4 linked regions of the Pelodiscus sinensis genome follow. The main gene of each other region encodes a partner of the protein of the gene in region 3 in a complex. Links are inferred from orthologs where the notes say so. Each region holds a gene or a part of one and is shown on either strand. Other genes may lie near its edges.

Region 1 (7,051 bases), on a different chromosome or scaffold from region 3:
CCCGCTCCCAGCCGGCCCAGGGCAGGGAATGGGGCGGGGGGGGGGGGCCTTTCCCCTCCAGGGGGCACCCGCCCCCAGCTGGCCCAGGGCAAGGCCTGGCTGGGGGGTGGGGGCAGGTAATGGGGCAGGGGGGCCTTTCTCCTCCAGGGGGCGCCCGCTCCCAGCCGGCCCAGGGCAAGGCCTGGCTGGGGGGCGGGGGCAGGTAATGGGGCGGGGGGCCTTTCCCCTCCAGGGGGCACTCGCCCCCAGCTGGCCCAGGGGCAGGAGTTTGGGAGAATTAAGGTGGGTGCAGTAGGGGAGGAAAGGAGGGGAAGGATCAGAGAGAAGGTGCTGGGGGGCTCAAGGGGGAACAGCTCCCAGAAGGTCTGGGCCCTGGGGCCTCCTTCCAGCCCCCCCCCCCCCCACACACACACCTTGGCGGCCCCGAGACTGACAGAAGAGATGGTGAGGACGCTGCTGGCCTGGCTCAGGCTGCTCCTGGGGCGCTCCCGGTCGGCCATGGCTCCTGACCGGCCCGGCCCACGCCTGGAACACAAGAGGGGCTGAGGAAGTCAGGGAAGCTCGCAGCGCCGGGAGAGGGGGTCCCTGCTGTGGGGAAGGTCACATCACCAGGGCACTGCTGCGGGGAAGCTCACAGCACTTGGGAGAGCTGGCTGGGGCCGCCGCAGCAGGGAAGCTTCCCGCAGTTGGGGCACTGTCGAAGGGAAGCTCGCAGCGCCAGGCAGCTGGGAGGCACTGCTGCGGGAAAGCTCGCAGCGCTTGGGATCCCTGGTTGGGGGCACTGCTGCGGGGAAGCTCGCAGCGCTTGGGATCCCTGGTTGGGGGCACTGCTGCGGGGAAGCTCGCAGCGCTTGGGATCCCTGGTTGGGGGCACTGCTGCGGGGAAGCTCGCAGCGCCAGGGATCCCTGGTTGGGGGCACTGCTGCGGGGAAGCTCGCAGCGCCAGGCAGGCTGGCATCTCCCCTGACCCGGGCAGGGCCCAGGGTGGTGCGTGGGCGAGAGAACAAGGCAAGACCTGAGCAGGCGACCCCAGATTCCCGGAGCCGGGGTGGGGGGCGGGAGGCTGAATGGAGCCATTCATGCCCCTGGCCTGGGCACTGCGGGGTGGGGGGAGCTCTGGGGAGGGGCATGTGTTGGGTGGTGGGAGCAGCCGCTAGTAAGGCCCCATGGCAAAGCTGCGAGCTTCCCCCCAGCAGTGCCGCAAGCCAGGGAAGTTCCTGGGGGTGGGGGAAGTTCCAGGGGGCCCATCCCCCCCACCACCTGCATCCCCCGGGACCCTCAGAACCGAGACACACACCCACTATCGCCCTCCCCGGACCCTCCAACACCCTGGCACAGCCCTGCCCCCACTGTATCCCCCCACACCCTGGCACAGCCCTGCCCCCACTGTGTCCCCCCACACCCTGGCACAGCCCTGCCCCCACTGTGTCCCCCCACACCCTGGCACAGCCCTGCCCCCACTGTATCCCCCCACACCCTGGCACAGCCCTGCCCCCACTGTATCCCCCCACACCCTGGCACAGCCCTGCCCCCACTGTGTCCCCCCCACACCCTGGCACAGCCCTGCCCCCACTGTGTCCCCCCACACCCTGGCACAGCCCTGCCCCCACTGTATCCCCCCACACCCGGCCCCCCCATTATAATCCACCCCCCCATTCTCCCTGCCCCCCCCTTACTGCAGCTCAAGCAAGCGGTGAAGTCACCGGATCCTGGGACGGGAGGGGGAGAGGCCGGAGGGGGACCCGCCGCACAGAGCCGCTTTATCTGCTCCCGGCTCCCCCGGCCGCGGCGCCGGCTGAGACAGGGGCCAGCTGCCTGCGGGGGCGCAGGGAGCCAAGAATTCCTGATCCGACACGGCTCGGCCCCACCCCTGGTCAGAGCCCCGGCCGGCCTGGAGTTAACTCGTTCCCCGGCTGGGCCACTGCTGCGGGGAAGCTCGCAGCACCGGATCTGGCTGGGGCACTGCTGCTGGGAAGCTTGCAGCACAGGAGCTGCTGGCTGGGGCACTGCTGAGGGGAAGCTCGCAGCATCAGAGCCTTAGCTGGGGCACTGTTGCTGGGAGGCTCGCAGCACTGCAGCCCCTGGCCAGGGCATTGCTGGGGAGATGCTCGCAGCACTGCAGCCCCTGGCCAGGGCACTGCTGGGGAGAAGCTCGCAGCACTGCAGCCCCAGGCCAGGGCACTGCTGGGGAGAAGCTCGCAGCACTGCAGCCCCAGGCCAGGGCACTGCTGGGGAGAAGCTCGCAGCACTGCAGCCCCTGGCCAGGGCACTGCTGGGGAGAAGCTCGCAGCACTGCAGCCCCAGGCCAGGGCACTGCTGGGGAGAAGCTCGCAGCACTGCAGTCCCTGGCCAGGGCACTGCTGGGGAGAAGCTCGCAGCGCCAGGGCCCGGCAGGCCCGAGGTATTTAGCTGGAATTCAGAGCAGGACAAAACTCCCTGGTCCGCTCCCTGCCCACGGCAGCTGTGTCCGCCCCCCGCCCCTCCCCCACAGCCCAGAGCGTCCCGCCCGCCCCCTCCCCTTAGCTCAGGGCCCCGGCGGGGGGGGGGGGCATATTCCTCCACCTCCTCCCAGTGTGGGGTTCCCCCCTCGGGACAGACCAGCCCCCGTCATATTCCCCATCCCCTCTGAGCCCCCCTTGCCTGCCCCCTGCCAGCTGGTGCCCGGGGCGAGCGGGGCATGAGCCCCCCAAAGGAATCTGGGCCACTGACCCGGGCGGGGGCAGACCCCCCCCATTGCGGCCACCTGCTCTACACCCCCCCCCCTCGCCCCCCGCCGGCTCTGGAATGACTGGACTGCCACGCGCGGGGCAGCGCGCGGGGCTGGAAGGACGGGCCTTACCTGGTTTCCGGGGGGGCACGCGGGGGTCCGGGCTGTTTGGGGGGGCAGGGTGATCTCTACCCGTCTCCTGCCCTCGACTCCTCTCCTGCCCCTTCTCTGTCCCCACCTCCTGCTCTCCTGCCCCTCCCCTCCTGCCCCTTCTCTGCCCCCCACTCCTCTCCTGCCCCTTCTCTGTCCCCACCTCCTGCCCCTTCTCTGCCCCCCACTCCTCTCCTGCCCCTTCTCTGCCCCCACCTCCTGCCCCTTCTCTGCCCCCCACTCCTCTCCTGCCCCTTCTCTGCCCCCACCTCCTGCCCCTTCTCTGCCCCCCACTCCTCTCCTGCCCCTTCTCTGTCCCCACCTCCTGCCCCTTCTCTGCCCCCCACTCCTGTCCTGCCCCTTCTCTGTCCCCACCTTCTGCTCTCCTGCCCCTCCCCTCCTGCCCCCTACCCCTCCTCTGCCCCCACCTCCTGCTCTCCTGCCCTCCTGCCCCCCACTCCTCTCCTGCCCCTCCTCTGCCCCCACCTCCTGCTCTCCTGCCCCCCACTCCTCTCCTGCCCCTCCTCTGCCCCCCAACTCTCTGGCTCCCTCTGCCTGCTGCTCCTTCAGCCTCCTCCTCTCTCGCTCCACCGCCCTTTCTCCCGACTTTCTTCCACCCGTCCGTTCCCCTCCTCACCCCTCCATCATCCCCTGCACCCCCTAGCTGTCTGCCTGCACCCCTGTATCTATGCCTTGCACCCCTCTATCCGTCCATCCCCCGGCCCCTCCACCCCTGTATCTATCGAACTATCTCTCTCCGCCTAGCGGTCTGTACACACCGCCTCTGCCTGCCTCTCCCCCCGACCCGAGTGACCGCCCAGCTGTCCAGCGCCCTCCCCGGAGGAGCTTGGGACAAAGAGATTTTCTCCTCTGTCCACTCCCCTCCCACCCCAGGGCCGGGCGGGGACAGAGAGCAGGGGGCCGGGAGTGCCGGGTTCTCGCCTAGCTCTGGGAGGGAAGAGGGAGCTAGTGGTTAGAGGGGGGCGGGGAGCCAGGACTCCTGGCTCTGGGGGAGGAGTGGATTTTGGGGGGGGGGAGACAGAGAGGTGCCTGGGCGAAGGGGGATTTGCTGGGGCGGGGAGGGAGAAGGTGCCTCGGAGGGTCGCCCCTGCTCCCTCCCATCGCAGCTCGTGTCTATCACCCCCCGCCCCGACACGCATACATAGCCTGAGGTTCTGGCGCCCCCCGTGGCCGGAGGCCCTCGGGACGAGGGGCCCTGCCCCTGGGGGTGCAGCATGTCGGCCCACCCCCGTACGATGCAGGTGGGGAAGGGGCTTCCCAAGAGAAGTGAGGCTCCATATGGGGGACCCCCTGAGGGACTGTAGGAGGGTCATGAGCCCCTTTTCACAAATGGGGAAACTGAGGCACGGAGTGGCGACAAGACTTGCAGAGAGCCCTGAACGGCCCCCTCCCCTCCCCGCTGTCACCACTGGGCACCACTGCCCACCCAGCGCAGCTCACTACTGCCCCTGCTGGAGTTTTTGACAGGACAGAAAAATAAAACCGAAAAGTGAAAGTGAAAAGGAGCGAAACTGCCCTGGGAGGAAAACCCAGCGGCAGGAGTGGACGGGGATCCCCAGACACGCCCCCTCCCCCAACGGGCCTGGTTTGGGACCCCCATATCTAGACAGGATCCAGGAACGCTGTCTCCCAGCCCCCCCTGCTCTAACCATTAGACCCCACAGCCAGGGAGAGAACCCAGGAGTCCTGGCTCAGTCTCTCTCTCACACGAACCACTAGACTCCACTCCTCTCCCTGCCTAGTCTCACGTTTAGTGGCGGGTGTGTTGTTGTGGGTCACTGGAGCACTGCATCGTGCCTGTTGTGTTGGGTGCCACACGCTGTGTTGCTGGAGGCTGTTGTGTTGCAGCGTGTGGTTGCGTGGCATGGTGGCAGTCCCCGGGCTCGAGGTGACCTTGGCCTGCTGAGTTTGTTGGGGGCTGCGCTTTGTGTACTGCTGGGGTTTGTTGTGTGATGGTGTTAAGAGTGTCTGCTGGGGCTCTGTGCTGAGTTTTGCCAAGCTGTGGTGTTCTCTGTGTGTGCGTGTGTTGGGTTTGTGTTGAGTTGGCAAGCGGCCTGTATTCAATGTTCTGAGTGGGCCCTCAGGGGCTGAATTGTCGTGTTGTGATTGCTCTGCCTGTGTTGTGTAGTTAGGCTTTTATGCTGTATGTGTTAGATTGTGACTAAGTTGTGTATTTGCTCTGTTGTGTGGGACTGGGTTGCGATGTAATTGTTGTCTTGCACTGTGTTGTGTATGTACCACATTATATACCATAATGCGTGATGTGTACGTGCTGCGTTGGGGACTGCTGTGTATTTTTATTGGTGTGTGAGTTGTGCGGTTCTCAGCTCTATTACTTACATGCTATGCTGTGAACCAGTGTGTCCTAGGCTGTGTTGTGTACGTGTTGCATTGCACTTCTGGGTACATGCTGGGTTGTGCGAGGTTGTGTTACTGGACACGTTTTGAGTTGTGTGTATTGTATTGCTGGATATGTGCTGGAGTGCGTGTGTTGTGTTACTGGATATGTGTTAGGCTGTGTGTGTGGAGTTGGCCTAAGTACGTGCTGCATGGTTGTGTGTTGGATTCTGCTGGGCAGTGTGTGTTGTGTTGGGCACGGGCTGGAAGATGTGTGTTGTGTTGTGCTGTGCAGTGGGCATGTTGCGTTGCTGGGCTCTCTGTGTTGTGCTGGGGTGTGTGTGTTGTGCTGGGCACGTGCTGGAAGGTGTGTGTTGTGTTGTGCTGGGCGGTGTGCGTGTTGTGTTGCTGGCCTCTGTGTGTTGTGTTGTGCTGGGCGATTGCGTGTTGTGTTGCTGGGTTCCGTGTGTTGTGCTGGGGTGTGTGTGTTGTGTTGGGCACGTGCTGGAAGGTGTGTGTTGTGTAGCTGGGCTCTGTGTGTTGTGTTGTGCTGGGGGGTGTGCGTGTTGTGTTGCTGGGCTCTGTGTGTTGTGTTGTGCTGTGGTGTGTGTGTTGTGTTGGGCACGTGCTGGAAGATGTGTGTTGTGTAGCTGGGCTCTGTGTGTTGTGTTGTGGGTGTGTGTTGTGTTGCTGGGCTCTGTGTGTTGTGTTGTGCTGGGCGATTGCGTGTTGTGTTGCTGGGCTCTGTGTGTTGTGTTGTGCTGTGGTGTGTGTGTTGTGTTGGGCACGTGCTGGAAGATGTGTGTTGTGTTGTGGGTGTGTGTGTGTTGTGTAGCTGGGCTCTGTGTATTGTGTTGTGCTGGGCGATTGCGTGTTGTGTAGCTGGGCTCTGTGTGTTGTGCTGGGCGATTGCGTGTTGTGTTGCTGGGCTCTGTGTGTTGCGGTGTGTGTGTGTTGTGTTGCTAGGCTCCGTGTGTTGGGGTGTGTGTGTTGTGTTGCTGGGCTCTGTGTGTTGGGGTGTGTGTGTGTTGTGTTGCTGGGCTCTGTGTGTTGGGGTGTGTGTGTTGTGTTGCTGGGCTCTGTGTGTTGGGGTGTGTGTGTGTTGTGTTGCTGGGCTCTGTGTGTTGGGGTGTGTGTGTTGTGTTGCTGGGCTCTGTGTGTTGTGTTGGGGGGGTGTTGTGTTGGGGTGTGTGTGTTGTGTTGCTGGGCTCTGTGTGTTGGGGTGTGTGTTGTGTTGCTGGGCTCTGTGTGTTGGGGTGTGTGTGTGTTGTGTAGCTGGGCTCTGTGTGTTGTGTTGGGGGGGTGTTGTGTTGGGGTGTGTGTGTTGTGTTGCTGGGCTCTGTGTGTTGGGGTGTGTGTGTGTTGTGTAGCTGGGCTCTGTGTGTTGTGTTGGGGGGGTGTTGTGTTGGGGTGTGTGTGTTGTGTTGCTGGGCTCTGTGTGTTGGGGTGTGTGTGTGTTGTGTTGCTGGGCTCTGTGTGTTGTGTTGGGGGGGTGTTGTGTTGGGGTGTGTGTGTTGTGTTGCTGGGCTCTGTGTGTTGTGTTGGGGGGGTGTTGTGTTGGGGTGTGTGTGTTGTGTAGCTGGGCTCTGTGTGTTGTGTTGGGGGGGTGTTGTGTTGGGGTGTGTGTGTTGTGTTGCTGGGCTCTGTATGTTGGGGTGTGTGTGTGTTGTGTTGCTGGGCTCTGTGTGTTGTGTTGGGGGGTGTTGTGTTGGGGTGTGTGTGTTGTGTTGCTGGGCTCTGTGTGTTGTGTTGTGCTGGGGGGGGTGTTGCCTGCCTACGTGCCGGCTCCGTGGTGCTGTCGCCCCGCCTCCCCTGACGTCACACTGACGTCAGCTC
Region 2 (7,722 bases), on a different chromosome or scaffold from region 3:
CTCCATTGGGAATGACCAAAGCTCGGGCCTCGCGACTGGTCGTGAATGATTTTGTTTTTTATTGCTGTTAATATTTGTTTCCTCTCGATTTCCAGTGGGGTTGACGTGTCAGCGTGTGTGTGCGTGTGCGTGTCTCTGCTTGTGTGTGTAAAGGGCATTGGGCACCGTCTGCTGTGACCAGCCAAAATACCTTTCCAGACCGGGTCTTCGTGTAGCATCGCCCTGACCGGCTCTGGAGCCCCATGTGTCTCCTCTGGCTTATCTTTTCAGTTCATTCGTAGTCGTTCAGCACCTTGTCATCACCAGCGCTGGGGCTGGAAGAGCGGGCGGTGAAGGGACCGTTCTTACCGGTCGTGCCGCTGCACAGACTCAGCTGTTACGTGGGGGGAACTTCAGGCACTACTCCGCCCCGGGTGTGAAATGACATATCCCCATTTCCCATGCCTGCGTCAATTCTTCCCCTGCCCACCCGGGCCTCTCCTTTTCCTCTGCTGCTCCTTTGGTGTGTAACGTGCCAGGGTCAGGTGCGCTGTCAGCGCCTCCTTGTCCAGGTACCGATGTCTCTCCGGCGGTGGAGAGAGTTCTTGCATAAAGTCTTGGCCCTCAGCACAGTGTCATTACGGGGAAAAATAAGACCAAGCAAGTTGGCTCAACAAGACACATTTTCAGGAGGCCTCTGCATCTTCTCATAGCCATGAAGCAGAACACTCGGCGGTCTTGCTGGCCTTTAACTCAAAGCCTTTATGTTCCGGGGAAAAACAAGTGTCTAACCTAAAAACCATGACTGGATTGCTAAGCGCTCGACCCGTTTCCAGCTATTAAAATCCACCGTCGGAGTGGTCCGTCACCACTTCGCAGCTCTGTGCGAGGAAGGGATGTTTTCCTCCCTGAAGCAGGGTGAATCTGGTGAGCAAACAGAGATAATAAAAACATTCCTGCCCAAGCTTTGTTTGCATTTATTTTAGCTCTTTTGCCAGTCATCCTTAGGACTGGAATTCTACCAAATTGTCTGCCCCTTACCAGGGGTCCACGAGAATTTTTGATGGGGACCCACTCCAAGATATTAGGTAAGTGGTCATGGGCCGCCCTTTTCCACGGAGGGGATGCGGGGGTGGGACAGATGCTGGGTGCAGAAGGGAGCTCAGGGTAGGGGACTAGGGTCCAGGAGAGGCTGTGGGGTCTGGGAGTTTGGATGATGGAGGGGGTTGTGATCTGGGGCACAGGATCCAGGAAGGGATATGGGTGCAGGAGAGGATTCTAGCCTGGGGAAGGGGTGCATGGTCTGGGCAGGAGTTGGGGGGAGGAGGCGGTAGAGTGCCAGAGGCACATTCTAGCCGGAAGGCGCTTTCCTAAGCAGCCCCCGGCCAGCAGCCCGGCTGTGTACATGGCTCTCCCTGCTAAGGGGAGGCGGGAGGGAAAGGCTTTCCCCACTGCCCCCATCCCCAGAAAAATCTATCAGCTCCTGTTGGCCAGAAACCAGCCAATGAGAGCTGAACTCTCCCTGCCCCCTGCAAAATCTCTCAGCTGTCATTGGCCAGTTTCTAGCCAATAGATGAAAGATTTTGCTGGGGGGGAGGGGAGCACGCTGAAGCCTCTCCCTCTCTCCCCGCACCTCAAGGAGCCATAGGAAGCAGCTAGCCGCTTTGAGCAGCCCTGCTCCCTGCTGCCAGGGCAGGCGTGGGCCGGATCAAACGGCTCGGTGGGCCGGATTCGGCCCGTGGGCCATACCTCATCTGCCGCTGGACCAGCACCTTCGCATATCCCTGCGCACACTCTCCACCAGGGCTGTAGCCCCATCTACTGCTTTCCTCCATGGCACCCCCGTAATCAGCTGTTGTAAGGCAGCTACTCGGGCACCTGCCCACGCCTGCGCCAAACACTATGCAGCGGAGACTCCATCAGCCTCCGACACACCATTGGGCCAAACAGTGTTATCCACAGCTTACTCACCAACTCCGCCGCCCCTTCCTCCGCACTGGGCCGCTGCTCCATAGTCCCCTAAGCCGGAGCACCCCCAGGGAAGAAGAAGGGAAGATTACTTACCTGGGCAGCAACGGAGGTGCTTCGAGATGGTTTCCCCGTGGGTGTTCCACGACCGTCCCTCCTCCCCTCTGTGTAGAGAAGGAACCGGGAGGATGGTTGGCTGTGCCTGCAGGATAGCAGCCCCGAGCGGCGCATGCCGGCTGTCCTGTGTATGCAGCCTACCTAGGGCGTGGCTACCATAAATCTCGACTAGAGGTGCCGGGGTGCACAGACACCTCAGGGGGTGCACCCACGGGGACAACCATCTCAAAGAACCACAGTTCCCTTCCTTTCACGCCCACAGACGGATTGCTTAACCTGCCGGGCTTGGTGGTGTTTTACATCTTTGGACCACGCAAACCCATCTAGAAAGCTAACCAGTCCTGCCTCCTCCGGTAAACCTATTGATTTAGCATTGGCAACTGGATCTGGCCTGCATTTATTATGGCGCTGTAGAGATTTGCCACTGCTCTTCTAGGGCCATAAACCTTCACAGAACGATACAATTGTCAGTAGGGATGTAAAGTGCTGACTATGCAAACCCATCACAGGCACTATCCTCTCCTGGAAAGAAAGGGTGGGATAAGACAGAGGGTGGAGAGCCCTGGGTCCGATGGGTGTGAGAGAGGCGTATGGGAGCGTGTGTTTGTGTTGTCTCTTCCGGTGCAAATCTTTAAAAGAAGATCAATAAAAAGACTCCAGCCACTCAGGTCAACTGCTGTTAATTGGAAGGTTTGTACTGCAGAGTTTTGATTGATGGCCATTAAACTCACTTGAAGACAAGTAGTTTTTCCAGGTGTCCCATATTGAGCATAGGGAAATAAGATCGCTCTAGAGTTGGTTACAGTCGGTCCTTGCTGTTGTTAATATTGATCCCTGAGAGCAGCCCAAACCGCGGCTCAGCTGCATCCATCCATTGAGCTGCTAATTCAGAATATGAATTGGGTAGCCTGCACGTACACAGAGTGGGTCTTGGGAGCTCCGTCAGCCAGACTGCAGCCCTCAGTGGAAAGTCTGCACATTTACTGCTCCAGAAGGTGGGGTGAAGAAAACCCACGGCTGTTAAGTATTGATGTGCTTGAGTAAATGAGCAGCCCGGAGCCCAGCAGAATTCCCATTATTCTCGTTAGCCGTAAGAGGAGTAATTTCCTGAGGCGCAGTATTTAAAATTGAACCCAGCATGGCTCCCGCAGACGCTGCCTTCCGAATGTCGGCTGCTCACTCCCCCCATGACAGCGAGATGCTGTCTCCGTGCCATTAACGCGCTTGACGAACAGGGTGTAAATTGGCACCGCATGCCACTTCAAACAGGGGAGGGCAGAGTTGCCAATTAACTCTCCTTGTACTTCCCTTGGTTGCCACTGCAGCCTGCCCTGGGCAGCACCTGCTTACGCGTCTGCATTTGGGCACGTTTCCATAGGCACTCACCATTTCTTAACAACCAGTGGAAGCAAAGGCGCCCTTTGGCATGGCTGGACTAGCAGGGTGTCGGGTGGAAGCTCACGCTTTTCTCTAGCTCTCTCCGAGCAGTGAATGCTGCCGGGAGTTAGGACTCTATCAGAGAGCAGGGGGTGAGGGCCAGCAAGTGACTTCATCAAAGCCGAATGCGTTGCAGTTTGCAGAGAGCTGGCAGCCTGCTACAACCAGCACTGAGACTGCACCACAGTACCAAGGCCCAAACACTCCCTCTTGCAGGGGGCAGGGAGGGCAGCAGCTTCAAGGTCAAGCCTAAGGAGCGCAGATGCTAGAAATGGATCTGACCCCTCAGATCCTCCAGTCTCTGCGTGGGGCCAATGGAGGGTTTGTTCCCTGCAGTACACTGGCTCTCCGGCCTTAGTCTTCTCCCCAGCTTGCGACTGGAATGATTCACTAAGGAGCTCTGCCCAGCTGCAGAACGACCAAGAGAAGTTTGGATCAGAGGCGGGAAGACGGGCACAGGGGCGGGGTTTAGGGCTGAAGGGGTGAATTTGGGTCAGAAGCAGGGGGAGGGAAGAGACGGGGCGGAGTTGGGGGTGAAGGGGACAGGGCTTGAGAGAGGGAAGAGGAGAATGGATGCTGCCAGAGGGTGTAAGAGCAGCCAGGGCCGGGTGAGCAGGGGAGGAGGGAACGCAGCGAGAGGAGAAGGCCTCCCGTCGAGAGCTATCCTTGCCCCCCGCCCCTCCATCCCCGCACGAGCCCCTTGCTCAGAAAGAAGGAAGGGTTATCGTTATGGGGGCAAGGCCTGGGCCGGGCAGGACAGGGTGCGGGCATAGGGCAGGGTGTGGGTCCAGACAGGAGTGGGGACGAGGGGCCAGGCCATGGGGCCAGAGGCAGGGCAGCGGGTGGGTTTGAGGCCAGGGCGGGGGCGTAGGGGCCTGGGATGGGATCTGGGTTCAGAGGCAGGGGGAGAAGGGCACTAGGAAGGGGGGGCGGAGGAGAGGGAGGGGGGGTTGATGGGGCAGGGTTTGGGTCAGAGCCAGGGGCGGGGCTTGTAGCTGTAGAGAGGCAGGGGGCGGGGTTGGGTGGGATGAAGGGGCGGGGTTCGGGGCAGGAAGATGGGCACAGGGGCGGGGCTTGGGGCCGAGGGGCGGGGCTTGTCGTAGAGGCGGGGGGGGGGGGGCCTACGGGCGCACTCCCGGCAGGCCCTTTAGGAGCTCCTCCCACGCTCCCCTAGTCACATGACCTCCCTCTGGGCGGAGCATCCTGACTGACATCCAGCAGCAGCCAGTCGACGCTCGCCTAGGAGACCGGCAACCAATCAGTGAATCCGGTGGGCGGGGCGATACGCTCAGCGCGCGGGCGGGGCGGAAGCAGAGTCTGGTCAGAGCGCCATGGCGGGCTACCCCTACGGGCAGGTGAGCGCGGGGCAGGGCGAGGGGGCTGGAGGGGGGTGTGGGGCGGAGGGAGGGGGCAGGGCGAGGGGGCTGGAGGGGGGTGTGGGGCGGAGTTAGGGGGCAGGGCGAGGGGGCTGGAGGGGGGTGTGGGGCGGAGGGAGGGGGCGGGAGGGGGGTGTGGGGCGGAGGGAGGGGGCTGGAGGGGGGTGTGGGGCGGAGGGAGGGGGCAGGGCGAGGGGGCTGGAGGGGGGTGTGGGGCGGAGGGAGGGGGCAGGGCGAGGGGGCTGGAGGGGGATGTGTGGCGGAGTGAGGGGGCAGGGCGAGGGGGCTGGAGGGGGGTGTGGGGCGGAGGGAGGGGGCAGGGCGAGGGGGCTGGAGGGGGGTGTGGGGCGGAGGGAGGGGGCAGGGCGAGGGGGCTGGAGGGGGGTGTGGGGCGGAGGGAGGGGGCAGGGCGAGGGGGCTGGAGGGGGGTGTGGGGTGGAGTTAGGGGGCAGGGCGAGGGGGCTGGAGGGGGGTGTGGGGCGGAGGGAGGGGGCAGGGCGAGGGGGCTGGAGGGGGATGTGTGGCGGAGTGAGGGGGCAGGGCGAGGGGGCTGGAGGGGGGTGTGGGGCGGAGTTAGGGGGCAGGGCGAGGGGGCTGGAGGGGGGTGTGGGGCGGAGGGAGGGGGCAGGGCGAGGGGGCTGGAGGGGGATGTGGGGCGGAGGGAGGGGGCAGGGCGCGGGAGCTGGAGGGGGGTGTGGGGCGGAGTCGGGGCTGGAGGGGGGGTGTGGGGCGGAGTCGGGGCTGGAGGGGGGGTGTGGCCAGGTGAGGGGGTAGGGTGGCGGGTTAGAGGGGGTGTGGGGCATAGTTAGGGGGCATGGGGCGGACTTAGGGGGCAGGGCGGGGGGGTTGGAGCAGTGGGGCATGGGAAGTGCCGTGGGGGGGGGGTTGGTGTGGATTTAGGGGGCTGGAAGGGGGGGTATTGGGGCGGTGATGACCTGGGGTTGGAGATGGGGCAGTTGTGGATGGCGTTGCGGAAAGGGGGGGCTGGCACAGCATGGGGTACAGTGGTGCTCCAGTGATGGGGTGCCACCCAAATGGCATCTCAGGGTGGGGTGACACCCAGGTGTCAGGGCGGCTCCAGGCTTGTGCCATCACCAGAGGCAGTGAGGTGACTGAGATGGTTCAGATGCCAGCCACTCTGCCTTCCTCTCCCCCCTAAACTGGGTCTGTCCTGGCCCCAAACCAGCTCTGGACAATCACCTCTCAGCATGGCCCCGTGCTCCCCGCAGCGCTTTCGCCTTCAAAATGTAGCAACAGTCCTGGGGGCTGCTGCTACACTTCAAAGGCAGAGACTTATCGACTAATCGAATAGTCGATGCAAATGGCATCAACTATTTGATTAGCCAGTTAATCTAAATGTAACCTCCCTAGTCACAAGGCAGCACTACAGTGTTCTTTCACAGTCCTCGAAGATGGTTGGTTTCCCCATTTAACATCCCTCCCTGTGTAAATGTTGTAACAGGGGGCAGCAGCCGTGGCTTCCATTGAAGTTCTCAATTGCTGTTTGCCCCCAAAATCCCAAGGGCTTTACGCTCTCCAGAAGTGCCACGAAAATGCACCCGCCTTTGGCGTGCACAGTAGCACCCGGGTGCCCGCTGTGATAAGAGGAAGCAGAGTATAAAAGGGCAGGATTTTTTGAAAGTGCCTTGTGATTTTGGCTGCCTCCACTTTTTGGGGTGCAGGTTGAGACAGGCCCTGACTTTTAGAAAGTACTTGATCACCTGCCCTCTGAAATCAGGCTCCTTTTAGGTGGTCACTGGCCACGGTTGTCAGAAGACCTGAAACTGTGCCGTGCTCAAATGAATGATGTTTTCCTGTAATCTCAGTTGAGTTGCCTTTCCTGATGTCAGCTGTTTACAGCCTAAACAGTGAACTCACTGGTGGGTCAGTGTGTGTTCCCTCTAATTTTTTCCATCCATGTGCAGAACAAATTTAGTTTTGTGCGTTGAGGCATGTGTGTATCCACTGGTAGTAACTAAGGGATGCTAGCATATAGTTGTTTAAATGATTATCTGAGAAGCTTGGGTTTATCTGTTAATGTTAACAACTACACCAGGGCTACTCAACACATGGCACATTTGTTTGTGGCCTGTGGTGCTGTTTGCTTTTACGCAGGTGTGACGGGCCGGGTCTGGGCACCGCTGAGGGCATCTGCTCAGGGTGAATTGTTCAAAACCAGGGCTGCTCACAGCCCCAGACTGGAGACCTTTCCCTAACAGGTCACAAACCAGTCACACTGAGTGCTTCAGCTGCCATCCAGCCAGCAGGAAGCCTCACGAGCAAAACCCCTCAGACACCCCAGCTCTCCCTGTGCCACAATCAGCCCTGGGCCTACACACTGGTGAGGGGTTATGGAACCCAATCGCACCTACCCCGAACGGGTTCTCCCAGTCCCAAGAAACCAGCCACAGATCCCTGGTCAGTTTACACTTTTGATCTTACCCACAAAATCACACTGGGCCAATTCTTTAGAATCTAAAATCGAAAGGTTTATTAATAAAAGAAAGAAAAGTTTGAGAGTAGGGTTGTTAAGGAGAATACATTACATGCACCAATCACCAAGTTCTTGATGCAGGCTCTCAGCAGAGATGTTACACACTGCTATCTTGCGTAGCAAGGATGTCTCTGGCATACATCCTATGTCAGGACAGGTCGGCAATCCTTCCTGGCTCTCCGTCCCTCGCAAGGCTGCATCTGGGATCAGGAGCAGAATTGAAGACAAGCTGGAGTCTGCCCCATATTCATAACTCCACATACAGACGTCTCACAAGTACACGAGCAGCATATATAGAATCAGTAGGACACAATCTTTTATTTGACACCTCACACGGCCCCCTTTGTACAG
Region 3 (7,433 bases):
AAGCGATAGATGGGAGCAAGTGCTCCTATCAGCTTCCCTTGCTCCTCATGATTTGAGGAGTACTGGTGTCGACGAAGGCGCCCTCAGCATTTGATTTAGCAGGATTAAGGGTCTAAAACAGTGTTTCTCAATGGTACTACGAGTACCCTTAAGGTACTTGAGAGAAGTCTGGGGGGAGGGGTACATTTACAAAACTGAATATTTGTTTTAAGTTTTATAGCATTTTATTATTTTTATACTTTTTACACCCAAAAATTTCATCATCCATCTGGCTACAATTAAGTTGTTTAAACAAATGTGCAATGGTAGAAAAAAAATCTGTGTCTGAAATCAGTAGGTACTGGAGGTACTTATAATTTTTTTTAAAGGGGTACTTTATTAAAAAAAGGTTGAGAAACACTGGTGTAAACACTTCTACAAGATTAAAAAGTCTAGGATATTTCAACTTGGAAAAGGGAATACTAAAACTGGATATGATACATCCTTGACTGGTGTGGGGAAAGCAAATAAGGAAATGTTATTTACCCCTTCACAAAACACTAGCGATGTAAGGGGTTACCTGATAAACATTAGCCTTACCCTTACTGGCATGCTTCTCAGGGTAACCAGTTAACTGGCAGCCTAGCCTGGCAGGAGCAGCAGATCCAGCCAGGTGAGAGCAGCTTCCTGCTACTGATCCCAGTTAAACATACCATTTAAATGGTAAACTTAAACTGGGATTTTACATCCCTACATCATACAGGAACAAGGGATCACACAATGAATTATTCCTTTGCACAATTCAGTCAGCCTGTGGAACCCTTTGCCAGAGGATGTCGAGAAGGCTAAAATGATGACAGAATTAAAAAAAACCTAGCTACATCTATGGATGATAGTGCCATTCATGCCTATTAGCCAGGACGGGCAGGGAGGCAATCGTGTACTGGGTGCCTCTAGTCCAGGCATGTCCAAAGTCCGGCCCGCGGGCCAATTGCGGCCCGTGTTCCGGTTTAATACGGCCCCACAGGTAATTTGGCAATATCTATCTTTTATGGCCCCCAACGAAGCCCCGAGCGCCGCTCAGGACTAAGGATGAGCTCGGGCGTGTTCGCAGCTCCACGTACCCGAACCCGCCGGGAAGCTGACAGCGCGCAGCGCTAATCACAGGTACTGAGACATTTTCCCGATCCGCAGCTGCAGAGATCGGGAAATGTCTCAGTACCTGTGATTGGCCCTGCGCGCTGTCAGCTTCCTGGCGGGCTCAGGCACGTGGAGCTGCGAACACGCCCAAGCTCATCCTTAGACTCTTCACCACACACAGCCACAAAGGCAAGAGAATTCTTGTTGGGCAGTGTATTAGTGCTCGGACGAACACACTTAGACCAAAACCTCTGGCACTGCGCTCACATGATCCCTTCCCCTTCTGGTCAATTTCAAAAATGGCGACTGTAAATAAGAGAAGGAAAGTTGACAGTGAGGGACAGGTGGAAAGTGGAATATTTCTTCACTGAAATACGGAATCACTGTGTTTGTCTGATATGCCAAGAGACTGTGGCTGTTTATGAGGAATCTAATGTCAAGAGACACTACCAGTCGAGACATAGCACATACGACAAGCTAACACGGCGCGACCGCAGTGAAAAGTTGAAGCAACTCAAAGCTGTTTTAATGTCACAACAGCGATTTTTCACAAGAGCCCGTGAGTCAAATGAAAATGCCACAAGGGCGAGCTATGAGGTGGCAACGTTAATTGCTAAAAATTGCAAATCTTTTGCTGAGGGTGACTTTATCAAAGAATGCGTTATGAAAATGGTTGAGAATATCTGTCCCGAGAAGAAGCAAGAGTTTGCCAACATTTGCCTGGCTCGTAACACTGTAGCACGGAGAACTGAAGAGATTTCATCAGATATTAAGAGACAGTTGACGTCCAAAGGAGTGGATTTTGACTTCTTTTCAATAGCCTGTGATGAAAGCACGGACCTATCTGACACAGCTCAGTTGCTGATTTTTATGAGAGGGGTGGACGATGAAATGAATGTGACTGAAGAGCTACTTGACCTCCAGAGCCTTACGGACCAAACAAGAGGAAAAGATTTATTTGTTTGTTAGTTCCGCCATAGATGACATGAAACTGCCTTGGAACAAAGTTACTGGGATTATTACTGATAGGGCACCTGCCATGGCTGGTGAACGAAGTGGATTATCAACCCTAATCTGTAACAAGGTGATCGAAGAAGGAGGCAGAGCTATTAAACTCCATTGTATCATTCATCAACAAGTTCTCTGTGCTAAACATCTCAAATATGATCATGTTATGAAACCGGTGCTAAAGACTATTAATTTTATTCGCTCTAAAGCCCTGTGCCACCGCCAGTTTAAACAGTTTCTACTGGACATCCAGGCTGAATACGAAGATGTTTTATATCACAACGATGTAAGATGGCTCAGTCGGGGGTCTGCACTGCAGCGTTTCTACTCTCTCAGAAAGGAAATCGGAGAATTCTTGGAAACAAAGGGACAATCAATGCGAGAACTATCCGATCCTATTTGGCTGGCTGATTTGGGGTTTCTAGTTGACACAACAAAGCATCTGAATGTACTGAACACGAGTCTTCAGGGGAAAGATGCAGCGGTGAACCAGCTTTATTCACACCTCAAAGCCTTTGGAACAAAGCTGCAACTTTTCATAAGGCAGTTGTCACAAACACAGCCCAATACCATACATTTTTCAGCATTGCAGGAAATAATGAACAGTTTTCCACAGGACAATATCAGTGCGCAAACGAGCAGGTATGCAGCAGACATCGCATCTCTGGCTGGGGAGTTTAAACGGCGCTTTCAGGATTTTGCAGCTATTGAAAAGGAGATCAGCCTTTTCTCCTCTCCATTCTCGGTTGACCCCGATGATGCTCCAGATCAGCTGCAGCTCGAGCTCATTGAGCTGCATTGTGACAGCGAGTTACGCAGTCATCACAAACAGCTCTCTCTTGTGAACTTTTACCGCCAACTGGATAAGAGCCGGGTTCAAGAGATTCGAACATTGGCTAAGAAAATGCTGAGCTTGTTTGGCTCAACATATGTGTGAGAAGACATTCTCTGCTATGAAGTTTAACAAGAACCGCGTGAGGACAAGACTGAGTGACTCTCACCTGCGTGACATTTTGCGCATCAAAACCACTGCCTTTGAACCAGACCTAGCCTATGTGCTGCAGTCCAGATCTCAGTTTCACCCTTCACATTAGTGCAGGCAAGTTTTTTTTCCAATTGAGATGAATACATTGTAAAATCTCAGTTAATGTCCGTTGGTCTAAATCAGTTAAAAATATATTTGGACACAACATGTATACTTGGTGTTATGTTCCTGTTCATATTTTTTGAACTTAAAAGTTGACAGACAACCTTTATTACCAATAATATGTAATGTACTTTACAATGTTCCTGACATATATTTCAGCTTCCTGGATTTTTTTTTCATCTGGCCTTCAGATATGAAAGGCAGAGTGATTTAACACCTGTTTAGATTTGTCATCCATGTGACGAAATGAAAAGTATGTCGTTTGCAATAAACTTTGCGTAAAATAGTTAATTTGCATTTAATTTTAATGGTTCAAAGAATGTCAGGCAAAATGGTCGGCCCTCACGCATGTTCACTTCATCAAATCTGGCCCTCGTTGAAAAAAGTTTGGACACCCCTGCACTAGCCGGTTTCCCAGATGTTGGGTGTGGACCAGCAGGGATCGCTCACTTGATCATTGCCGGCGCCGTTCACACCCTCGGAAGCACCTTGCATTAGTCATCATCCGCAGGCGGGATATTGGGCAAGAGGGACAATCGGACGGAGCGATTCCGGCTGTTTTCGTGCCCTGTATTGTCAATGTCTGGCCGCCGTAGGGGCGCTGAGCGGGGGTCGGGCCGCGGGGCCCCCGGCGCGCTCTGGCCAGAGCCGCGGGAGCCGAGGCGCCGCTGGGAACGGAGCCCAGCGCCAGGCCGGCGGGCTCCGCAGCAGCTGCCCCGGCATCACCTTGGCCGCCTTGACTCTGCCCGCGGCGGGCCGCCTAGGCGGGCCCCGGGCCCGCAGCACCAGCGAGCCCGCCGGGAGGGGACCCGGCCCCCCGCCCGCAGCCGCGCCGCGCGCCTGCCCCTTCCCGCCCGCACTCACCGGCCCTACATCCCGGGCAGCAGCAGCGGCGGCTCCGGCTGGCAACACCGGAAACAGCCTCGGGTGTGACGCCACTTCCGCCAAAGGCAGCACCGCCGCTGTGTCCCACGTGATTCAGGGCACAAGCATTTCCGCTGGGGGCGGGCGACAGGCTGCTGTGATGACCTTCCCCGCGATTGGTCGCTGGTACCCCCCGGCCGATGTGATTGGATGCGTGAGTTAAAAGTGCTTTTCCTGCGCCCTTTGAGCCCTAGGCCTCCCCACGGCTGGGCGCGTGCGCAGAGCTGGCAGCTGCCCACGTGGTGCGTTCTAGCCCCGCCCCTTCCCTGGTCTCGGGGCCTCGCTCACCTGCCACCAGATCCCGGCCCGTGTCCCGCCACCCGCGGTGACCCCCCCCCCCGAGCGGGGCCAGGGGCCTCAGTGACCCCCCCCGTGCCGGGGGAGCGGGGCCTCAGTGACCCCCCCCCGTGCCGGGGGAGCGGGGCCTCAGTGACCCCCCCGTGCCGGGGGAGCGGGGCCTCAGTGACCCCCCCGTGCCGGGGGAGCGGGGCCCGGGGCCTCAGTGACCCCCCCCGTGCCGGGGGAGCGGGGCCTCAGTGACCCCCCCGTGCCGGGGGAGCGGGGCCCGGGGCCTCAGTGACCCCCCCGTGCCGGGGGAGCGGGGCCTCAGTGACCCCCCCGTGCCGGGGGAGCGGGGCCTCAGTGACCCCCCCCCCGTGCCGGGGGAGCGGGGCCCGGGGCCTCAGTGACCCCCCCCGTGCCGGGGGAGCGGGGCCCGGGGCCTCAGTGACCCCCCCCCCCCCCCGTGCCGGGGGAGCGGGGCCCGTGGCCACAGTGACACCCTCCCCCCCCCCCCCCACGCTTCTGGAGGAGCAGGGCCTGGGATCAGAGACTGTCCCCCTGCCCCATCCCGTGCTGGGAGAACAGGGCCGCCATGGCCCCCAAGGACATCATGACCAACTCGCACGCCAAGTCCATCCTGAACGCCATGAACGCCCTGCGGAGGAGCAGTACGCTCTGTGACGTGACGCTGCGTGTTGAACAGAAAGACTTTGCCGCACACCGCATTGTGCTGGCAGCCTGCAGCGACTACTTCTGTGCCATGTTCACCAGCGAGGTAGGCTCTCGAGAGCCACTTGTACATCCAGTAGAACACTCTTGTGCGGTCCTGGAGGGGGCTCATCTCAGCCACATTGACATGGTATTGGGCAAGGGCGCATTTCGGGCACATGGGGGGTAGCAGCTGCCATGCGCTCTGGGACTAGGGTTGCCAGGTGTCCGGTTTTGAACCGGAGAGTCCAGTATTTGAGCTTTCTGTTCGGGAAACAAATTGAGAAAATAGAAATATCTGGTATTTTCTAAATCAGGTGTAATGTAGATTGTGATGGAATGTCAAGTGTGTCTGGTATTTTTGTTGAAACAATCTGGCAACCCTATGGGACATGGCTTGCTTTTCATCCTGTTCCCTGGACGGGAGTGAGGGGAAAGTGCTTTTATTCTGTGCATTCCTTTCACACCTGGCTGGTAGAGCATCCCCTATGCTCCTGGTGGCATCCAACAAGCCTTTGTCTGCCAGTTCAATACTACAGGAGTGCTTAGACCCCCTTGTCCTGAGTACATCCCTACTGGCAGTAAATAGCTATTTAAAAAGTCAATGGGTTAAAATATATAATTGTAACTGTTGAACTTTTACATCGCTAACCACCAGAGGCCATTCTAGCCCTTAATAGCTTGCAGCCTGTCACAGTGAAGACTGAGAAATGTGGGGAGGGGAGAGTGGACTTGGCTCAAAGTTGTCCAGCTGGTCCGTGGCAGAACCAGGAATAGAACAGAGCATTGAGCTCCAGGGCTAGTGCCCTGTCCATGAACCAGGCTCTTCTTCTGACTACTTGCTAGTGATTTACACTAATTGCACATCCTTTTGCAAAATGTTGAAAGGAGATAATGTTTGGCTGTGCTGCAATTCACTGTTTGGTTCAGATTGTTAACTAGCAGTCGTTTTCTGTGCTTTGCTTCAAACTTAATGCAGTGGTAAATAGAAAAAAATGAGGGGAGGCAGAAAGGGGTTGGTCCTGCCTTGGGCGGGGCGCTGGACTTGATGACCTACTGAGGTCTCTTCCAGCTCTATGATTCTATGGATCATGGAACTGGGGTTGTAAAAGTTACATTTCTAATGCCTCTTCTTACACAAAGGCTGTGTCTACTACATCCCTCTTTCGACAGAAGGATGTTAATTAGACACTGTGAAATTGCAAATGAAGCAGGGATTTAAATATCCTGTGCTTCATTTGCATAATTGTGTCATGGCACTCTTCCGAAATGGCGCTTGTTCGAAAGTAAAACAGTCTAGTTGCAGTTCTTTCAAAAACGGCAGGCTTTTTCGAAAGATCCTGTACTCCTTGGTATAGACTGCGGTTTTACTTTCAAAATCGTGATAGAAATGTAGCCATGTTAGTCTGGTGTAGCTGAAACAAAATACAGGACTATGTAGCACTTTAAAGACTAACAAGATGGTTTATTAGATGATGAGCTTTCGTGGGCCAGACCCACTTCCTCAGATCAAATAGTGGAAGAAAATAGTCACAACTATATATTCCAAAGGATACAATTAAAAAAAATGAACACATATGAAAAGGACAAATCACATTACAGAACAGAAGGAGGATGCGGGGGGGGGGGGGGGGGAAGGAAGGTAAATGCCTGTGAGTTAATGATATTAGAGGTGGGGAAGGGTAGATGTCTGTGAGTTAATGGTATTAGAGGTGATAATTGGGGAAGCTCACAGGCATTTACCTTCTTCCTCCCCCCCCCCCCCCGCATCCCCCTTCTGTTCTGAAATGTGATTTGTCCTTTTCATATTTGTTCATTTTTTTTAATTGTATCCTTTGGTATATATGGTTGTGACTATTTTCTTCCACTATTTGATCTGAGGAAGTGGGTCTGGCCCACGAAAGCTCATCATCTAATAAACCATCTTGTTAGTCTTTAAAGTGCTACATAGTCCTGTATTTACTTTCAAAATGGCACTTGTTCAAAAGAGTGCCATAAGCGATTACGAAAATGAAGCGCGGGATATTTAAATCCCCGCTTCATTTGCAATTTTGAGTGTCTAATTTACATCCCTCTGTTGAAAGTGGGATGTAGTCTAGACACAGCCAAAGAAGAGAATTTTCTTTTCCTAGTAGCTTCCTAGTTGGTACGGAGAGAGCAGGCTGAAGCAAACTGGGAGTATGTCCACACCACAATTGTGTTCTTCCGAAAGTAAGTAAATCGAAAGAACAGAGGGGTTTTTCTG
Region 4 (7,790 bases), on a different chromosome or scaffold from region 3:
ATGACATAACACTAGCAACATCAACAATTCAAAACTCAGAACAATGCATCAGAATTGGAGAAAGTGAAAAGAGAAAACAGTAGCCAAAAAAGGTGGAAATACTAAATACAGGTCCCAGTCTTGCAAACAAATATAGCTTCATGAAGAGTCCATTGAAATGAACCAATCAAATTACACACGTGCCTAAATGTTTATAGGTTTTGGAGAGAGTGATAGTTTTTAAGATTTTACTATCATGCAAATAATTATGAGAGAGAAAAATTGTCATTCATTAACATGCCCTTTTTCAGTTAAAAATCCTTTGTGAACTTTTTACTGTGTTTGGTTGCAAAAAAGGACATTTATTTTAAAATCGCAAAACTTAAAAAAAATACTATAAACAGATGTTAGGTTCTATTTGGCATTTGGAGGCCTTGATGTCAATATATACTTAAAAGTGTTACTTTTTAAAGGAAGATAATTAGATAAATTAGATAGTTGTAATCCATTCTTTAAACAACCCAAAAAAGGGAAAACTAAAACAATGCTAACAAGAAGCATTTTGAGGGGTGAAAAAATATCAAGCATTCTCAGCACTTATGAAAGCAGAGCTCCACATGAACATTCTTCACCCACGAACCGCATTTTATATGCTTAGTTACAAGAACTTTCAAAAAATAAAAAGCAAAATAATACTTATTCTAGTCATTGTTTAACCCTTCTTAGTTTACCATCATCTACATACGTAAAGAGATTTTGCATGGATCCTATTAGCCAAATTTAAAAGACTGCCAGAATTTAGATTTAATAAGAAAAGAAGTTTGCTGTAAAACAGATAAACATTAACAATGACAAAAATGGTGTATGATAATCCACTATAGTACACAAGTTATCAGCTATTCTTTTGCTATACCGCCCTCCAAATGTTCTGATAATATGAGGTTTATGCTGTGAACAAGAGTATTATTAACAATCAATAATGTCTGTTGGAGATCACCAGCCACACACCACTTAAAACAGGGGTGGTGAACCTCCAGCCTTTGGGCCACATGAGGTGCATCAGGGTTAGCCACTGGAAGGTTGCCAGATGCTTTGTTTACCTGAGCATCCACAGTCATGAAGCCCGGCAGCTCCCAGTGGCAGCAGTTCACTATTCCTTGCCAATGCGAACAGCAGGAACAGCCGCCACTGGGAGTGGGCCAGGGGGCTCTATGCCTGCGGACACTCAGGTAAACGAAGCATCTGGCAGTCCACCAGCACCTAACCCTAACAAACCATGTACTGGATACCCACCCTGACTTAAAACTTTCTAGTCTTTTACTTCACAGTACACTTTTTTTTCCTTCAACATAAATAATTATTGTTGACTAGAAGTAGAGTTTAAGAGGGAAGCTATCCAGCTGAATCAAATACCTACAGATAACTTCCAACAATTTAAAGAAGTATTAAAGTTTTCAACTTCATTGGTAAGAGCTTTGGCTAAGCAGGTCTTCCCTGATATTATGTGCTGGTGAACAGATGTGAACAGGTATGTCCAGTTTATTCATGAAAGCAACCTATTATAATTGTTTGCCACTGGCTAGCTGGGTCAGGTGTAACAAAAAGTTAAGATAAATACTAAAGGCTAGTGACTCAATAGAGCATTTCCTTTTTATTATATACATATTATATACACACACACACACACACACTTTTGCAGGAAATCACTAAAAATGACTGAAGTTTCCACACATCTTGTAATACTGGAAACCATTAACAGCAGTCTTCACATTCATTTGTTCTAAGCTTCAACTGAAGAAACTGTCAAAGCACAGCAGTTTTACAGCAGTGTAAATTAATAATCTGTCTTATTTGCTCAATAACTAAAGTGACTGGCAATCTCAGAGTTGGATATATCCTAGCAGTCCTATGAAAAGTTACACTGTCACCTGACGTTTTACCATCTGACCAACAATACCTGCAAAATAAAATCTCCCATATGCAGGAAAACTAGCTTAGAGATAGAGTTATAAGACTCCTTTTTTTGTTTATGTGCATTTGTAGCTTCTTGTCTGAAAGCCTTTAATTGGAAATGGCATTAAATATATTTTCGGAACATATGACTATAATAAACACACAGCTTCTGAGGGGGAAGAATTACCACCAGTATGGGTTCCTCCACATGCTTCATGCTGTGGAGGGTCCCCACTCGCTGTAATGCACCCTCCCCAGTACCGATCCACAGTAAGTGCCCGAGCTGTTCCCTCACCGTTCCCAGTGTCTGTAAACCATCCCCCCAAAACCGCGGTCAGTGCCCAAACTGCCTCCCCTTCACCCAGCCGCCTGCCAGTGCCCGCGCCGGCGACGCCACCCCCAGTGCCGGTCCCAGACCCTAGCAAGGGCCCGCGCCGCCGCCCCCCGCGCCGGTGCTTCCTCCCCCGCTCGGCCGCGGTGACAGGTTTCATTGTGCTGGTAACAGATGGGGGCACGGAGCGTGTCCCCCGCCCGCCAGCCCCCAGCCCAACCCCGTGCCCGGAGTTTCTAGCCCTGCTCCCCAGCCCGCCTCCCGCGGGCAGCCGGGTGACAGACCGGGCGGCCGCGGGGCCTGCGGGCGGACGGAGGCCGGGGCCTGGCGCGCAGCCGGTGGCCGGGGACTCACGGGGAAGGCTCGGATCCGCATCTTGGTGTCCTTCCGGCTGCCCGTCCCCTTGCTCAGGTTCGACATCTTCGGACCCGGCTCGAGCGGAGCCTGCTGCGGGGTGGGGGGGGGGGGGGACTGCGGGGAGACCCCGGGCGGGGGCCCCAGGCGACCTTCACTCCGAGCGGCGGCCCCGGGGGCGGCGGGGCGGGGAGGAGAGAGGCGGCGACGGGAGGTTCCGGGCGGCGGCGGCGCAGGCCCCTGTCTCCGGCGGCGGCGGCGTTTCCTTCACCCTCCTCCGCCGCGATGGCGGACAAACATCGCTCAGTGCGCAGGGCCAAGCGCCCCCCCACCCCACAGACAGATCCGGCCGCGGCGGCAGGAGGGGCGCGGGGAGGAGCTCGGCGGGGAGGGCGGGCGAGGGGGTGGGGGCCCCCCCGCTGCTTTGCTCTCGCGAGACTTCGCTCGGAGCTGTCACCGGCTGCAAAGGGGCGGGGGGAGGCAAAGGCAGGAAGAGAAAGCGCGCTGGGGCAAAGGCAGCCGCTGATTGGCTGAGCGCAGCGCAGTCGGGTGGGGTGAACGCAGAGGGGGTCCCACGGCTGGCCTGGGGGAAAGTGGTGGCTTTAGCAGCAGTAGCTGCTGTGGGGCCTCGGGGGCGTGGTCTCCATGGTACCTGTGCAGAGCAGGGCTAAAGTCCAATTAAGTTACACAACTTCAGCCACCTCAACTGCCCAGCTTAAGTGGAAATAGCTTAACTGGGCTTTGGCGCTGTCCCCACCGCAGGAGTGGAAGGAAGAGCTCTCATCCCTCCACTTCCTTACTCCTGCTGACTGAGGGGTACAGCCCTCGCTATAAGACGGCCTCCAGCCCGCCATTATTTCGAAATAAAGGCTTGTAACGTAGCTGTGCGCTTTGTTATTTCGGAATAATGTCAGTTATTTCAAAGTAACACTGTTGGGTAGACGTAGCTTGGGACTATCCGCACTGCACTCTGGGCCTAGTGCTACTTCCACTCATTGCAGGCCCAGCTAGAACTAGAGCCCCACATGTGGACAACATGCCCAGACCTTAGGATGGTGTTGTCTAGGCTAGCCACCTGCCAGCTCTTTCCCTTTTATTTCATGCCAATAGGTGTTTTTCTAAAGTCACAGCTCCTGGACTCAAGTGACTATGAAAGACTCACAACTCTTCTTTTTAAAAAAGGACTGGGAAAAGGTTGAGAATGTGACCAAGGCTCTGTCACCATGGAGCCTTTAAATAAAGAAATCAGAATAAGCACTGGTCTATATAGCTATCCTCAATGGTAATAGTGACTCAGTTGTTAGCATAAATTAGGTAGGTGCCAGCATTCACAAAGCTTTTAGCCATCAGGTTGCTAGACCTGTGCTGAGATGGTTATTCATATGCTGATAATTTGGTAATAATAGCTGAACACCCAATGGTAGCAGTGATGGGCAAACTGAAGGAAACAAAGTCAAATGTAGACGCAGCCTTAAACATAGGCCCATAACTCCTTTCAAATCTATGTGGAGAGAGCAAAAGCAAACAGTCTCTTTAAAAGATAGGCCAAGTAAAAAACTGCACAGACATATTGTCCCTTTTCCATTATCAACCTGAAGTTTCCCAGCTGTTAATTTTGGCTCACTGAGTCATGGCACTCATGGGTGTTGTACTCCTTCCGAGACTCATAGTCATGTTGAAATGCAGTTATTGTTTTCTCTTTTTAAAATTTAGTAATCACAATATATGCTTGAGAAATGAGGATGCCACCTGAGGCAATCCCTGTGTGAGAGTGAGGCTAAATATAGGTCACTCTCAAATTAGGACAGTTTATATAAAGTATCAAATGTTGTAAATATATTTTGCAAGTCAAAGGCAGAGTCAGTTGCTCAGCACATCTGACCTTCAGGTGGGTCACTCAAGAACAAAAACAAAAAGTTAATAGTCACTTGAAGTTTGGGCATAGGTGACTAGCCCAAGATCCCATATAGGAAGTCTGTGGCACAGACAGGAACAGAACTCCTGTTTCAGTTCCCAATCTGTACTTTACCTGCAACAGCATAATTCCTCTTTTCACAGGCATTTTTCAGTCTAGTACACTAAAATCATCACACTATTCGGCAATTTCCTAGAAATGCCTTTAAAATATTGGCACAAAGGATACACAGGCACAAATATCCTGCGAGCTAGTTTGTCTTCTGTAAGAGTTTCTTTACCTATTTGTTCCCTTCATCTTAAAAACAAATACTTAGCATTAAAACTAATGTAAGTGCCTCTTGTGTATGTTTTTAATCTCCTGTTCAGAATTACGTATACACTGAATGGAAAAATTATATAACAGGAGCACAGAAAAAAAAAGTTCTAATGATTTCAGCATGACTAAAGTACAGTGCCATTCAACCCTTCTGAAAAGTACAGTTTCTAGAATAAGAATGTCTAGTTCTTAAACCACTTTTCATTAACAGCCAAAAAGTCAAGTGGTAGGAGAGGCAAAGTTTTCCTTCTAACTTCCAATATGAAGAAATAGTGTCCATACATTTCAGTGTTATCTTCCTCATTTGAGACCTTAGTAAACCAACCAATTAAGTCTAAATTAAAAGTTTTGCTTCCAAGAAGTTCAAATGGTTGGGAGAAGGAGCCTACCTTAAATTGCAGTTTGGATTGCAGGTACCTGCATTACTGCTGATAGCTCTAGCATAGAGCCCGCAGTAAGCAGCCTGCAGACCATACACAGTTTGCTAGGGTTAGCCCATGTTGGGCCACCAGATGATTTACCTGTATATCTGCACATAAATAAAGCATCTGGTAATCTTCATCAGGCCTGTGGGATGCTTATTGCCCACCCCTGCTCTAGCACAACACGTTCGAATACTGTTTTTGTCCTTTTTTCATACTGTTCCCTTATGCATAGGGCTAGTGTTGCCAGAACCCCTCCCCCCCCCCCCCAAAAAAAAAACCCACGCCAGAAAAAAGGACCCTGAGAGTTGTTAAGCAAAAGAAAAAAAAATCCCCGGGGACCCTTTAAAAACCGCGTGGTGAGGCCTTTTGGCCCTAACAGGCTGCCGGTGGCCACCCGCCATCTTGCCTTTCTGTGCCAGGCCGGACAGCTCCCCTGCGGAATCCGGTAAGCACTAAGGTTGCCAGGTTGCTTCCGTATTGAGCCAGACAGAATGGGATTTTCGCCTCCTACCTGGGAAAAAAATCAGAATGTACTGGACATTTTCTGAATTTTTTTTACAAGACAGGAGGCAAAAATACTGGACTGTCCGGTTCAATACCGGACACCTGGCAACCCTACATAGTGCAACCTCACTATCCAAGCGTACCAAGCTCTCATAAATACTCTTTTTTTTTTTTGGAGGTCCACTCAGGTCAGTTAAATGGTTGATTATGTCACTAGAGGAGGGATCATCGTTTAAAAATTCAGTTACAACCATGTTGGCCCTCTTAAGAAACCTTCTTTAACTTTGCAATGTATGATCATTTGGTATCATAGAAGGCTCAATAATACTGCTGGTTCTTACTTAGTAAAATTATTACAAGTAGAGATTGTTGCTTGAGGTTCTTCCCATGCAGGTTTGCAGCCCAGTGGATCTCATATGAAACTTGCTGTTCACTCCTCTCTGCATTCCAGCTCTGTAACAGGTAGCTGCACAGAACTCCCCTATTAGAACTCTTCTAATTTCTGCTCCCATCTCTAGGAGGAATAAAGCAGTTTTGCTAATGTAGGGTCTTGTGCTCACACAAGAGATCATTGGAATTGCTCGTAAGAACTAGTGGTGTCCATCAAAGGGGAGATGAGTGTGTGAAGAAGGGCAGGATTTACTTATCAATGGCTAGTAGCCCTAACGCCCATCTTAGTCAATGCCAGCTATCTTATTTATACATCATCAAATATTCCTACAATAAAGAAAGTAATAACTGTTTTGGGAAAAATAGCCTTCCATAATGGGGCTCAAGTTTATCTACTGTGACTACTTTTATCCTCTGTTTGCCTCCAGTCCCCTTCACAGTTCACACTCGTGTGCAAGCTCTGAGTACAAAGGCCAGAAATTCCTGCTCTAGATACCCCTGGTTCACACTAGGGGATAAGTTCGAGTTAAGATACGCAATTTCAGCTACGGTAATTGCATAGCTTAAATTGAAGAATCTTAACTTGAATTTTGGCGCTATCCACACAGTGAGGGGTTGCATCAGAATAATAAAAAATCCGAGAAAGTGTATTAGCATGGTCTCATTCTATAACATTCAACATTTCATCTGAAGAAGTGTGTTGTACCCATGAAAGCTCATGATACCATCTACATGTTTTGTTAGTCTTTAAGGTGCTGCTAGACTATTCATTGTTTTTCAAGTTTTTACATTTGAAAGGAAACTCAGAAAGGCAGCTGCCTATGTGAGGGTGGAAGGAAGAGATTCTTATTTAAAAGAACAAAAAGTCATATTTCTTTTTAGTTACATAAATACAATTATCAGTCTGTGTTGATGCTTGTTTTAGGCTTTGCACAAATTTTGCGTGATATATTGAGGATATGTATAACACCATCAATACAACAAAACCTGTGTAATAGCCTGTATGCTCAAGAGAAGGGGAGGATGGGGAGTAGCTTGTTTTCAATGTATCACATTTAGAATCTCATCCTGCAGTCCTGACAAGCAAAAGTTCCTTTGAAGTCACTACATGATTAGTAAAAAATGACACAATGAGGTAAGTTTTATTTTGCTGTTTTATTGACCAATCCTCATCCCTCCATACTTCTCCCAACTCCAACAATTCTGTTGATATCAAGGGGGTCTGTTTGATCCAGTAAAAGCATAAAAATAAACATTCAGAAAACGTATTCAAAAGATTATTTCTAAACTTTTGTATTTAGAAACAGGTTAACGAAAATATTGTAATTCCAAATTATATTCCACCTAGTTCCTATCCTGAAAAGTTGTGAGGGTTTTTTACCTCCTTCTTGTATGACCTGAATCAACATCTCTGTACTTGTAATTTTAATTTCCTTGACCATTGCTTCATATGTCTTTTGGGAGGAATTAGATGACAGAAGATGCTGAAGTAACCTATATTTATATGATGTATCTGAACAATTCTACTTTTATCTTGCAATCACTTGCTTCCTTTACAAGGCTGTAAATAAAGAATATCAGAGCAACAGTCACCAAATAGCATTTCCTGCCCATGAAAAAA

Evidence for each region.
Region 1: the proteins of KLHL12 (region 3) and PLEKHA4 are in contact, whole or in part, in a crystal structure (PDB 8OIO), measured with the Homo sapiens proteins. The link is inferred for Pelodiscus sinensis from reciprocal best matches to the Homo sapiens genes KLHL12 and PLEKHA4. Residues at the interface, in NP_067646.1 of Homo sapiens: Phe289, Arg320, Glu417, Tyr434, Ile439, Phe481, His486, Cys511, Tyr512, Tyr528, Leu533, Cys558; in NP_065955.2 of Homo sapiens: Pro177, Gly178, Gly179, Pro180.
Region 2: the proteins of KLHL12 (region 3) and PEF1 are in contact, whole or in part, in a crystal structure (PDB 8RBH), measured with the Homo sapiens proteins. The link is inferred for Pelodiscus sinensis from reciprocal best matches to the Homo sapiens genes KLHL12 and PEF1. Residues at the interface, in NP_067646.1 of Homo sapiens: Phe289, Gln293, Arg320, Tyr321, Leu371, Glu417, Tyr434, Ile439, Phe481, His486, Cys511, Tyr512, Tyr528, Leu533, Cys558; in NP_036524.1 of Homo sapiens: Gly15, Gln16, Ala17, Pro18, Gly19, Ala20, Pro21, Pro22.
Region 4: KLHL12 (region 3) and CUL3 share a complex: the UniProt entries of both Homo sapiens proteins name them as parts of the BCR(KLHL12) E3 ubiquitin ligase complex. The link is inferred for Pelodiscus sinensis from reciprocal best matches to the Homo sapiens genes KLHL12 and CUL3.

What each region holds. Positions count from the first base shown.
Region 1 is NW_027465977.1:49,419-56,469, reverse strand, and holds the start of PLEKHA4 (pleckstrin homology domain-containing family A member 4), read right to left. Parts: upstream 3,005-7,051; 5' UTR 2,840-3,004; intron 1,816-2,839; exon of another isoform or gene 1,677-1,815; intron 543-1,676; 5' UTR 501-542; coding exon 414-500; intron 1-413. UniProt on the Homo sapiens protein: Binds specifically to phosphatidylinositol 3-phosphate (PtdIns3P), but not to other phosphoinositides.
Region 2 is NC_134735.1:4,529,996-4,537,717, forward strand, and holds the start of PEF1 (peflin), read left to right. Parts: upstream 1-4,704; 5' UTR 4,705-4,832; coding exon 4,833-4,856; intron 4,857-7,722. UniProt on the Homo sapiens protein: Calcium-binding protein that acts as an adapter that bridges unrelated proteins or stabilizes weak protein-protein complexes in response to calcium.
Region 3 is NC_134737.1:16,710,066-16,717,498, reverse strand, and holds the start of KLHL12 (kelch-like protein 12), read left to right. Parts: upstream 1-4,433; 5' UTR 4,434-5,072; coding exon 5,073-5,255; intron 5,256-7,433. UniProt on the Homo sapiens protein: Substrate-specific adapter of a BCR (BTB-CUL3-RBX1) E3 ubiquitin ligase complex that acts as a negative regulator of Wnt signaling pathway and ER-Golgi transport.
Region 4 is NC_134720.1:16,974,696-16,982,485, forward strand, and holds the start of CUL3 (cullin-3), read right to left. Parts: upstream 3,019-7,790; 5' UTR 2,684-3,018; coding exon 2,618-2,683; intron 1-2,617. UniProt on the Homo sapiens protein: Core component of multiple cullin-RING-based BCR (BTB-CUL3-RBX1) E3 ubiquitin-protein ligase complexes which mediate the ubiquitination and subsequent proteasomal degradation of target proteins.